3 linked regions of the Macaca fascicularis genome follow. The protein of the gene in region 3 purifies or fractionates together with the protein of the main gene of each other region. This does not show direct contact. Links are inferred from orthologs where the notes say so. Each region holds a gene or a part of one and is shown on either strand. Other genes may lie near its edges. The genes, in order: PECR, ACOX1 and PEX5.

Region 1 (3,813 bases), on a different chromosome or scaffold from region 3:
TTACCATGTGATTTCAAATGCCTTTGATTGGAAGAATTTTCCTAATTAGTTGTATAAGTTAATTTTCTCACATTAAATTATCCTATATTTGGTTTTGAGGATCTTGTAATTAGAAATTCTAAGCCATAGTGTCTATCTACACAAGACCCCATACTTCATTTATTTTTGAGATGGAGTCTCATTCTGTTGCCCAGGCTGGAGTGCAGTGGTGTAATAACAGCTCATTACAACCTCCGCCTCCCAGGTTCAAGTAATTCTCCTGCCTCAGCCTCCTGAGTAGCTGAGATTACAGATGCCTGCTACGATGCCTGGCTAATTTTTGTATTTTTAGTAGAGATGGGGTTTCACCATGTTGGCTGGGCTGGTCTTGAACTCCTGACCTCAGGTGATCTGCCCGCCTCAGCCTCCCAAAGTGCTGGGATTATAGGTGTGAGCCACTGCACCTCGCCACCTTTGTTATTTAAAATTGATTTTAAAAACAACCACATGCTTGAAATCCTGAAAATTACCGATATGTTTTCCTTTATAATCAAAGTTCTTGAAAGTATTCCTCTTGCATAGTGATTTGAGGAGCCTTATCTGGGTCTATGCCATGTGAGAGTTGCTTGATCATCAGCTGTGGCTTGGATTTAATACTGAAGGACATAGTTTTTTCTTTGTTGTTTAGACAGAAGCTCAACAAGACAGACTCCATAGGAAGAAGTCTCTGGTGGAATTGTCAGGTAGTTGGCATACCTGCCAGCTTGGTGAACCAGAGAAATACTCAACAGAAGCTGATTGTCATGTTTATGTTTTGTCTTTCAAAGGCATTCTGGAGCTGCAAGAGCAGGTGTTTACAACCTCACCAAATCTTTAGCTTTGGAATGGGCCTGCAGTGGAGTAAGGATCAATTGTGTTGCCCCTGTAGGTAAACGATCTATATTGAAGTTTATTGACAAATTATGCTTCTCTGATTCCATTTGTGGTGTTGATAGAGGTATTTGGTAATATGCAAGTGTAGCATAAAAGATTGACTTTAAAACATAGATAAAATGAGAAAGTCTAATTTTCTTTTTTTTTGAGATGAAGTCTCACTCTGTTGCCCAGGCTGGAGTGCAGTGGTGTGATCGTGGCTCACTATAACCTCCACCTCCGGGGCTCAAGTGATTCTCGTGCCTCAGCCTCCTGAAGAGCTGGGACTACAGGCACACGCCACTACCCCGGGCTAAGTTTTGTATTTTAGTAGAGATGGGTTTTCACCGTGTTGCCCAGGGTGGTCTCGAACTCCTGAGCTCAGGAGATCTGCCGCCTTGACCTCTCAAAGTGCTGGGATTAGAGGCATGAGCCACTGCACCCAGCCCAGAAAGTCTAATTATCATTACAGAAGTACTCTTTGATTTATAGCCAGATTGTCAAGAATGTTAAACAAGTGATTCTCGATTCTGGGTATTTTTTTTTTTAGAAGGAGTCTTGCTCCGTTGCCCAGGCTGGAGTGCAGTGGCATGATCTTGGCTCACTGCAACCTCTGCCTCCCGGGGTTCAAGTGATTCTCCTGCGTCAGCCTCCCAAGTAGGTGGGACTACAGGCACTTGCCACCACCCCCGGCTAATTTTTGTATTTTTACTAGAGACGGGGTTTCACTGTGTTAGCCAGGATGGTCTCAATCTCCTGACTTCGGGATCCACCCACCTTGGCTTCCCAAAGTGCTAGGATTACAGGCGTGAGCCACCACACCCGGCCTATCTGTAGATCTTATCTCTGTGATGTCAATAGGTGTTATATGTGCCACTCAGTGAAGGCTAAGCATGCCTGACTTCAAGCATGAAGTTAGTAAACTCATCTCTGACAAAGGCACTCCTACTAGTTCTAATTCATGTTTGCCTTCCAGAGACTTTTTTGGTTTAATGACCAAATTTTCATACTTCTAGATTTTATCCTCTTTAAATAAAAGGCAACATATTGTGTAATTGGAAGCCACTATATCTCTCCAGTATCATTTGAAGTAATTAAAACTGCCAAATTTTCTAATTTTATTTTAACTTTGCTTTCCTCCCCTCCTCGCCATAATTTGTTTAACAGTTTGAATCCATTACAAATGGCTGTATCCTGTGACATACAGTTTTTTTTTTTTTCTTTTTTTATGTTTGGGACAAGGTCTCGCTCTGTTGCCCAGGGCGAAGTGCGGTAGTGCGATCACGGCTCACTGCAGCCTCGACCTCCTGGGCTCAAGTGATCCAACTCAGCCTCCTGAGTAGCTGGGACCACAGGCGTGTACCACCATGCCCAGCTAATTCTTTTTTATATTTTTTGTAAAGATACAGTCTCCCTTTTTTCCCAGGCTGGTCTCAAACTCCTAGGCTCAAGTGATCCTCCAGCTTCGCTCTTGCAAAGTTCTGAGATTACAGGCATGAGCCACTGCACCTGGCCTGGGATACAGTTTTTGAGTAATTTTCCTGACCTTAGAAAGCTAGCGAAAGATACATTTAAAAATTTCGAAACAATTAACATTTTAGTTTATTGGTATTGGATTCAAATGCTTTATTTGCGATTTCAATCTAGGTAAAAAGCCAAGAAAATATTGCATTTTTCTAAGTCTCACGTAGCCATTGCCCAGTCTTCTCTTGTAAAGCAGAGAAGCCAAATGGAAACTAAAATAGACAGAGTCCCCTGTCCCATTGTTCCAAGTTAAGTGCCTCTTTCATTTACTTACATAATCATGACCTTCAGAAAGCAAGTCTTTCATGAAAAAATCCAGATGCTTAGGAGGAAGAGGAGGTCACAAAATAACCATTGAGATCATCCATTTGAGGATGATGGGGACTGTACTCCTTTGACAACATGGAGGAAAATTAATATCAGCACTGTTCACTTGTTTTTGACTTAAGCTACTTAATGTTTGAAATGCCAGTAGGCTATCTTGATATCTTTATAATTAAAATGTAATGCACTTTATTTTAGTGCATTTAGTGTAATGCACTAAATTTGTTTTATTTTTAAACACAGGGAATTATTTATTCCCAGACTGCTGCGGAGAACTATGGTTCTTTCGGACAAAGCCTCTTTGAAAGTTCTTTTCAGAAAATCCCCGCTAAACGAATTGGTGTTCCTGAGGAGGTAAGGCATATTTCCAGCATTGATTAGAATTGCTGTGTGTTGTACTTTGGAATTTGTAATTCAGTGTCATTTTTATGTGGTCTGGATGACATTATTTCTCCCACTGCCACCAGATCATTTCCCCTGTTCTTTCTGGCTCTCAGATATACTCTGGTTGTGCTTTGACTACTGACAGCAATCTGTACTTGAGAGTGAATGTAGTATAAATTAATAACAGCGTTTTTTTCCAGTTTGTTTTATTGTATTTTCATCCCATTATTTTATTACCTGGCATTTGTTGGTACACAGGACCCTAGGACTCTAAGCAAGTCAGACAATTATGGCCATAGGAAGTTCCACATGAGATTTTGGTAAGATTGAAGTCTGTAAAATCAGCGGCTTTCCAAAATGCCAGCAGCAGCAGTCTTTGTGGTTTTTTTTTTTTTTGGCTTGAGACAGGGTCTCACTCTGTTACAGGCTAAGTACAGTGTCGTGATCATAGATCACTGCAGCCTTGAACTCCTGCCTTGGCCTCCCAAAGTGCTGGGACGACGATGATGACGGTGATGATTTTTTCGACAGAGTTTCTTTGTCTCCCAGGCTAGAGTGCAGTGGCGTGATCTTTGCCCACTGCAACCTCCACCTCCTGGGTCAAGCGATTCTCCTGCCCCAGCCTCCCGAGTAGCTGGAATTATAGGTGTATGCCACCACACCCGGCTAATTTTTGTGTTTTTAGTAGAG
Region 2 (3,913 bases), on a different chromosome or scaffold from region 3:
AAAAAAAAAACAGTGACTAGAGATGATTCAGCAAATCCGTGAATCTCCCTTGTCCACAATCCCACTGGGCAGAATTGTTTTTTGTTTTCTGTTTTTTTTTTTTCCTGTAGAGATAGGGTCTCACTATGTTGTCCAGGATGGAGTGCAATGTCACAATCTTGGCTCACTGCAACCTCCACCTCCGGTGCGCAAGCCACCATCCCATCTCAGCCTTCAGAGTAGCTGGGACTACAGGCGCATGCCACTACACCCAGCTAAGTTTTTGGTATTTTTTGTAGAGATGAGGTTTTGCCATGTTGCCCAGGCTGATCTTCAACGCCCGGGCTCAAGTGATACGCCTGCCTCGTCCTCCTAAAGTGCTGGGATTCCAGGCTTGAGCCACGGCGCCCGGCCCTACACTAGGTTTTAACAGTATTTAAGTGTGCATTTCCCACTTTGATGACGATAATGGCGAAAGCAAAGAAGTCTGGATTCCAAGACCTCTAGTAACTGCGAGGTTGGGGGGAAAAAAATGTCGGCTTTCCCAGATAGAAGGCTTACAGCAGCACTGCCCGCTCGGCCTCATTCTAAGTCCGCGTCCACCCCTTAAACAGCGGGCAGCGCTCACAATCCCACACCCAGGGCCCCGGAGCCCACGCCTCTGCCAATAAAGACGTCATTATTTTAACAAAAGGTAACTAGAGCCTCTCCCCAAAGAGACTTTGGTTCCCGTCCCATTCTCCTCCAATCCGGGTGGATTTGGCAAAAGCCCAAATGACCCTCCCTAGCAATTCCGCAAAGCCAGTCTCCCACTCCAGGTTCCTGAGTCTCCCCGACCCCTCTCATTTCAGAGATGCCTAGAGACACAGACCCGGAAGCGGGGAGAAGTCGGGCGGGCGGGGCGGGGGGCGGCAAGCGCAGGCGCAGTCCCTCCTCAGCCTCGTTGTCCCGCCCCTTCCCAAGGCCCCCAACCTGTTCTGGGCGTCGCCGGGTCCTCGGATTTCCTCTTTCCGCCCCGCGTGGTCACGTGACGGGAGAGGTGGCGGGATACAAAAAGTGCTTTACTTTCCCTCTCCCCGAACGCCCCGCGGGGCAATTTCTTGACCTTTGGAGCCCCTTTCCCGAGGATCCGCTCGGGAGCCTCCCCTGGCCAGGAGCAGAGGATTCGTCTGCCCCGCGACCGGCCCCAGTCACGCCGCGGACATCGCCCCCTCTGTCTGGGCGGTTGTCACTCACGCGCCGAAGGGCCTCGGAGAAAGAAGGGGCGGGCCGGGCGAGCGGAGGCGGGGACTTGCGCGCTTCTGAGGCTGCCTCATAGGGCCCGGCCGGCGCTGGAGCTGCGGGTTTAGGTTGTCACTGCCACCTCCGTCGGTGCTTACTTCGCTGCCAGCTGGTCGTCGCCATGAACCCGGACCTGCGCAGGGAGCGGGATTCCGCCAGCTTCAACCCGGAGCTGCTTACACATATCCTGGACGGCAGTCCCGAGAACACCCGGCGCCGCCGAGAGATCGGTGAGGGCGGCGGGCGAGACCTCCCTCCTTTCCTGAGAAAACCTGGAGACTCCCTCGATGCGGAGTCAGGGGCGCTATGGGGCCCAGGCCCTGTCGCCCAGCGTTAGGGGAGCCGGGACCCCCACTTCGAGGAACAGCCTGTGTTCCTGGTGGGGGGATATCGCCATTCCCGAGATGTGTCCGCGACTCTGAAGCCTATTGTGATTCAGGGAGGGTGGAACGGAGCCCCGAGTGTCTGTCTGCCTTTTAATGCCCTTTAACCCCCTTCCAGAGAACATGATCCTGAACGACCCAGACTTCCAGCATGAGGACTTGAACTTCCTCACTCGCAGCCAGCGTTATGAGGTGGCTGTCAGGAAAAGTGCCATCATGGTGAAGAAGATGAGGGAGTTTGGCATCGCAGACCCTGATGAAATTATGTGGTTTAAAAAGTAGGTATGCCTTAGCACAGAGCAAGTGTTGTTAAGCCTGAACTTTAAAGCTGCTGTCTGTGGTGGCCTTTCACCACCGTGCTTGGCGTTTGAAGATGCAAACTGGCATATTTTCATGCCACTTTATGAAGTTATATATGTGCCCAGGCGCGGTGGCTCACGCCTGTAATCCCAGCACTTTGGGAGGCCGAGGCGGGCGGATCACGAAGTCAGGAGATCGAGACCATCCTGGCTAACACGGTGAAACCCCGTCTCTACTAAAAATACAAAAAATTAGCTGGGCGTGGTGGCGAGCCCCTGTACCCTGTAGTCCCAGCTACTCGGGAGGCTGAGGCAGGAGAAGGGCGTGAACCCGGGAGGCGGAGCCTGCAGTGAGCCTAGATCCCGCCACTGCAGTCCAGCCTGGGCAAGAGTGCGCGACTCCGTCTCAAAAAATAAATAAATAAATAAAGTTATATGTGTGGAAAATAATGTGATTACTTTTGTATCCAAGCCTTTTCGTGGGATGACGTGTTTGTAGAATGTTGATAATAAATGGAAATGCAGGAGTTTTCTCGAGTACAGTTTCAAGGATGTTGTAAAAGCATTATTCTGCCCAAGCAACTCAAATTTGACTGATTTGAATGCAGAATCATTTTGCTCTTTGTAACGAGGACGGCTAAAATTCTGAATCTGGAAGGATTTTTTTTTTTTAGTTGAACGACCATTTAAATATTTTGGAGCGGCCGGGCGCGGTGGCTCAAGCCTGTAATCCCAGCACTTTGGGAGGCCGAGACGGGCGGATCACGAGGTCAGGAGATCGAGACCATCCTGGCTAACACGGTGAAACCCCGTCTCTACTAAAAATACAAAAAAAAAAAAAACTAGCCGGGCGAGGTGGCGGGCGCCTGTAGTCCCAGCTACTCCGGAGGCTGAGGCAGGAGAATGGCGTAAACCCGGGAGGCGGAGCTTGCAGTGAGCTGAGATCCGGCCACTGCACTCCAGCCCGGGCTACAGAGCAAGACTCCGTCTCAAAAAAAAAAAAAAAAAAAAAAAAAAAAAAATATTTTGGAGCAGTAGCAGATTATATTATATGGTAGTGTGGACCTGGATGAAGAATAATCAGTCACGCCTCTGAATGAATAGAAAGTCTAAGAACCCAGTAGTTCTGAATCGATGACAGCGCTTGAATGGTTGTCTTGTGCATATGAGAGAGATGTCATAAAAACCTCCCTTGGTTCTAGTGTGGAAGAGAGTATATCCTTTTTTCATACCATGTGTTTTATTGTGTTTTTTGTTTGTTTTTGTTTTCGTTTTTGTTTTTTTGAGATGGAGTGTTGCTCTGTCGCCCAGGCTGCAGTGCAGTGGTGCGATCTCGGCTCCAACCTCCACGCCCCCCAATTCAAGCCATTCTCCTGCTTCAGCCTCCGGAGTACTGGGATTACAGGCGCCCACCACCACGCTCGGCTAATTTTTGTATTTTTAGTAGAGATGGGGTTTCTCCATGTTGCCAGGCTGGTCTCAAACTCCTGACCTCGTGATCCACCCTGCTCCACAAGGAGCGGTAAAAATAAATAAAAATAAGGATTTTGGGCCGGGCACAGTGGCTTATGCCTGTAATCTCAGCACTTTGGGAGGCCGAGGCAGGTGGACCAGCCTGGCCAAAATAGTGAAACCCTCTCTCTACTAAAAATACAAAAATTAGCCGGGCATGGTGGTGCGCTCCTGTGGTCCCAGCTACTCGGGATGCTGAGGCAGGAGAATCCCTTGAACCCGGGAGGTGAAGGCTGCACTGAGCCGAGATCGTGACACTGCACTCCAGCCTGGGCAACAAAGAGAGACTCTGTCTCAAAAAACAAAAAAAAGGACTTTTTTACCTTAACCTAAACAAACACTGTTACATGATCCTAGTACAAGATTATTTTGACTTATAGCATTTTTTCACATTTATTCCTAGGCATTTTCTCTTTCAGTTTCTCCATTTTAAAGGAACTCTAGTATTTTCATCAGTAA
Region 3 (3,913 bases):
CCTGCCATTCTGTTCCCCTGAGGTGTCAGAACAGCTTCTCTGTCTTCCCAGGGATGAGTTTACACAGACATTCCCTGTGGGCCCCGCCGCCCCGAGGCCTCCACCTTTGAAATCTGCAGAGCAGCCAGGGAACAAGCCCGGCCCATGGCGCCACCTGCTGCCTGCCTGGCTCTCTGCTCGTGCACCCTGAGCTGGGATGGAACTTCTGTTCGTCTGGCACTACTGCCCTTGCTCATTTACCGGCAGCCCTGGGCCCCTCCTTGCTCTTCTCCGTGACACTAGGACTCCCTTGCTCTTGAAGCCGGGTGAGATTATCGGGGTTTGTTTCCCAATGACTTTGAGGTTTGACAGCAGAGCACATTCTCTGGCAGATGAGGGGGCCTGAGGCTTAGTCTTATTCCGTGATTAAAAGCATTTCTTGTATGTTTGTGCTTTCCCAGCCTGGAGTGGTGGGAATAAGGCCGCTATGTTGACTTAGTGGAAGGAAGGGCTGACTCACTGTACACCTTCCCTGTACGTTACCAGCTCGAGATCTCAGGATGCGTTGGACCCTATTTTGGTCTCCGGAATTTGTCATCATTCAGTGCTATTTTCCCCATTATGCAGAGGTGGAGAGGGATTGAGGCGGGGGCGGGCCCCTGTCTCCATGGAGACAGTGACGCTGCCCCGCTAGGGGTTATTTGGAAGTGGGGCAGAACTAGGAGGCTGAAGAAGGCCTCGGACTGAACTCCCCAGTCCCTGGTGTTAGGGCCTTTCTCTTTCTTGTGCTTGGGAACATTAGCCAGCTCCATTTTAGAGGGGAGAACTGAGGCTCAGAAGGGGCAGCGAATCCCCTTGGGTCACAATGCGCCCAAGGGAAGAGGCAGGATCAACTGAGCCTAAGATCTCGCGTCTTAGGCTTTCCCCCAGAACGTGGGAAGCCCTTCTTAGCTCCATTCTTCTTTGAGCTTACCGTCAAACAAATCCTAGGGCCCGTGGCCTTTTTGAGCCCTCCTAGAGTCGACTCTCCAAGACCTGCTCTCTAAGGTGCTCTTCCCCTTTAAGACTCACGGCTCTTCCCGTCAGGCTGCAACGCAGTCTTAAGGCCCCGCCTCTTCAGACAGCTTCCGCTGGGCCTGGGCCGCAGCAGGGCGGTCACGGCCCCTTTAAGTTTGAGCCCCGCCCCCTGACTCCCCGCCCCCCCTTCTCCCCTCCCCCAAGCCCGCACCTGGTGGCCCGGCGGGTCGTGCGGCGCGGCGCTCGGCGGTGAGCGCATGACCCGGAGGGGGCGCGGGACAGCGTCCCTGGGCCCTCCCCACCCTTGCGGTGGTCTCGCGGATCCCAGGGGCGGGGCTGGAGCGGCAGCAGGGCTGGGGAGATGGGCGGTGGGGAGCCGGGAGGGACCGGGCGGAGCCGGGGGAAGGGCTCCGGTGACTTAGGGGGAGGGAATGCCCCTCTGCGGTGCTCACCGTATGCTGGGGCTGCGGGGGCCTGGGTATGGTCGGGCTGTTTTCCCACTCTCCCTTGCCCGGGCAGTGTACCCGTCCAGCCCGGTTGTTGAAGCGTCCCCGTAGTCCCCCGGGTTCCAGGCCCCTTTGTGGGGGCGGCTGCTGGCCCCCAGCCCATGAGACCGTAGTCGTGGAGGCCGCTGCAAAGGCACAGGCTGGAAGCGGTGGCCTTTGAGGGGGGCGGCAGGAGAGAGTACCGACCTCCCTCGAACTCCTGGCAGAGGTGGGGGTCACAGCAAAAGGCACTGGGGTGGAGGGCGGCCAGTGCGGGGCAGACGCCTGTGTGCCTTCCTCAGGTGCGGGCAGAGTTGTGGGTCTGGGAAGAGTCTGGCTTCGGTACTTCAGTTCCAAACCTCCTGTGTCCATCAGAGAGCTGGCGGTCACCATGGCAATGCGGGAGCTGGTGGAGGCCGAATGCGGGGGTGCCAACCCGCTCATGAAGCTAGCCGGGCACTTCACCCAGGACAAGGCCCTTCGGCAGGAGGGATTGAGGCCTGGCCCCTGGCCCCCTGGAGCCCCAGCCTCTGAGGCAGTGAGTGTTCTTGAGGTGGAAAGTCCAGGTGGTGGTCTGAGGTGGAGGGGCTGTTTGTACATGTTGGTATAACTGCTTTCTCTATTGTGTTGCAAATCATAGTAGTTACCACTTAATGAGCGTTTACTAAACACTAGAAAACCTTGTGCACCTTTAAATAAAGGCAACCATTTTATGGATGGACAAACCGAGGCTCAGATGCCTGTGGTCTTCATCAACCCCTCATTTTAAAGGAACTGCACCATTTTGCGTCTCTGTCTTTCTCTCTTAGGCCTCCAAGCCTTTGGGAGTAGCTTCTGAAGATGAGGTAAATAGACCAGTCTCTTTTCTGTCCCATTTTTCTCTTGCCCATTGTGTTTTTACCTTTAAACTTAGTTCACCCATATTTCAGTTTTTGGGCTTTCCTGACCAAATGAGAATGCCTGCTTGTTTTTAAATGTATTTTTTTGTGCTTCTAAATCTATGCAAAGACAATTTCTGTTTGTGTGTCTCCAGTTTCTGTGTTTTCCTTTCCTTGTATCTGACATTGGGATCCCCCTCCAGTAGGTCCTGTCTTTTGCTGGGGCCTCCTGACCCTATGGGTTCATTTCATCATTTCTCTTCTGGCAGTTGGTGGCTGAATTCCTGCAGGACCAGAATGCACCCCTTGTGTCCCGTGCCCCTCAGACCTTCAAGATGGATGACCTCCTGGCTGAGATGCAGCAGATTGAACAGTCAAACTTCCGCCAGGCTCCCCAGAGAGGTGAGTCTGGAGTCTAGTGGGAGGGGAGATTGTTTTCCATGTAGCCAGGGCCAAGGAAGGGGGTTCCATTGGATGCTGCTGGCATTGGGGAACTGAGATGCAGAAGGAGACAGAAAAAGTCACAGAGTGTTTTCACGTGTACTCAGGGTTCTTTAGGCATGATGGAATGGTATGTATTGCTTCTGTCTTAGTTTTCTTTCTCTCTTTCTCTTTTAAGCCCCTGGTGTGGCAGACTTGGCCTTGTCTGAGAACTGGGCCCAGGAGTTTCTTGCAGCTGGAGATGCTGTGGATGTAACTCAGGATTATAATGAGACTGACTGGTCCCAAGAATTCATCTCTGAAGTTACAGGTGAAGCTTGTTATGGGAAAATCTATACTGGCTTCTATGGGGCAGAATTCTATGCCCTTCCCCTGTTCAGGGTGTAGCGTGATTATGATTTTTCTGGCCTCATGACTCATTTCTAGAGGGTTAGGGTACTGAACTCAATTTCCCTTAGGTGATAACAGAATGAAATGTATATTAAACAGAGGACTGGGTTTGTACTAGATAAGAGCTTTTGGATAGAGAGAACGAAGAGGTAGGTTGTCCTTTTTGTTACCTGGAGCTTTATCACTGTGGTTTGGTGGAGAGGATCTGCAGATTGGATGGATGGCAGTGTTGCTGAAGAGGAGAGTATTCACTGCGGCACCTGGGATTCTGGCATTAAGTTATTTTGAACAGAACTGGGGCCTTCAGAGTATTGTGACGTTCAAGTGCCTGAAATATGTGGTTTTAGAAGGTAAAGACCATACCATGATGATCATAATAAAAAATAATAATGATAGTTATGTTCTAGGCCTTGTGTTACATGCTTTGAATGCATTGTCTCCTTACTCTCCTTGAGAGTAGTTACTGTTTTTAGACCTAGTTTAAAGATAAGAGAATTGAGGCTTAGAGGTGAAGTGTGCCCAAGGTTACACAGCTTTGTCAGTGGTAGAGTTGGGATTTGATCCTGGATTTGAAAGATTCCTGACCCTGCGGCCTTAACTGTGATGCTATACTGCCAGGCCTGCAATTTATGCTCTTCTTGCTTTGCTACAGATTTAAAGGTCGCAGCCTAATTTTTCCTCTTTGAAAGCATCCATTGCTCCCTGCATCTTTTATGATTGATT

What was found.
Region 1: the proteins of PEX5 (region 3) and PECR purify together in Homo sapiens (affinity purification with mass spectrometry; 3 studies listed by BioGRID, with this or other methods). This does not show direct contact. The link is inferred for Macaca fascicularis from reciprocal best matches to the Homo sapiens genes PEX5 and PECR.
Region 2: the proteins of PEX5 (region 3) and ACOX1 purify together in Homo sapiens (affinity purification with mass spectrometry; 3 studies listed by BioGRID, with this or other methods). This does not show direct contact. The link is inferred for Macaca fascicularis from reciprocal best matches to the Homo sapiens genes PEX5 and ACOX1.

What each region holds. Positions count from the first base shown.
Region 1 is NC_088386.1:111,947,188-111,951,000, reverse strand, and holds part of PECR (peroxisomal trans-2-enoyl-CoA reductase), read left to right. Parts: intron 1-806; coding exon 807-903; intron 904-2,982; coding exon 2,983-3,093; intron 3,094-3,813. UniProt on the Homo sapiens protein: Participates in chain elongation of fatty acids. Catalyzes the reduction of trans-2-enoyl-CoAs of varying chain lengths from 6:1 to 16:1, having maximum activity with 10:1 CoA. Has no 2,4-dienoyl-CoA reductase activity.
Region 2 is NC_088390.1:82,392,172-82,396,084, reverse strand, and holds the start of ACOX1 (peroxisomal acyl-coenzyme A oxidase 1), read left to right. Parts: upstream 1-1,320; 5' UTR 1,321-1,381; coding exon 1,382-1,490; intron 1,491-1,761; coding exon 1,762-1,921; intron 1,922-3,913. UniProt on the Homo sapiens protein: Involved in the initial and rate-limiting step of peroxisomal beta-oxidation of straight-chain saturated and unsaturated very-long-chain fatty acids.
Region 3 is NC_088385.1:8,173,732-8,177,644, forward strand, and holds the start of PEX5 (peroxisomal biogenesis factor 5), read left to right. Parts: upstream 1-1,209; 5' UTR 1,210-1,710; intron 1,711-1,783; exon of another isoform or gene 1,784-1,856; 5' UTR 1,857-1,872; coding exon 1,873-2,019; intron 2,020-2,290; coding exon 2,291-2,326; intron 2,327-2,628; coding exon 2,629-2,761; intron 2,762-2,978; coding exon 2,979-3,110; intron 3,111-3,913.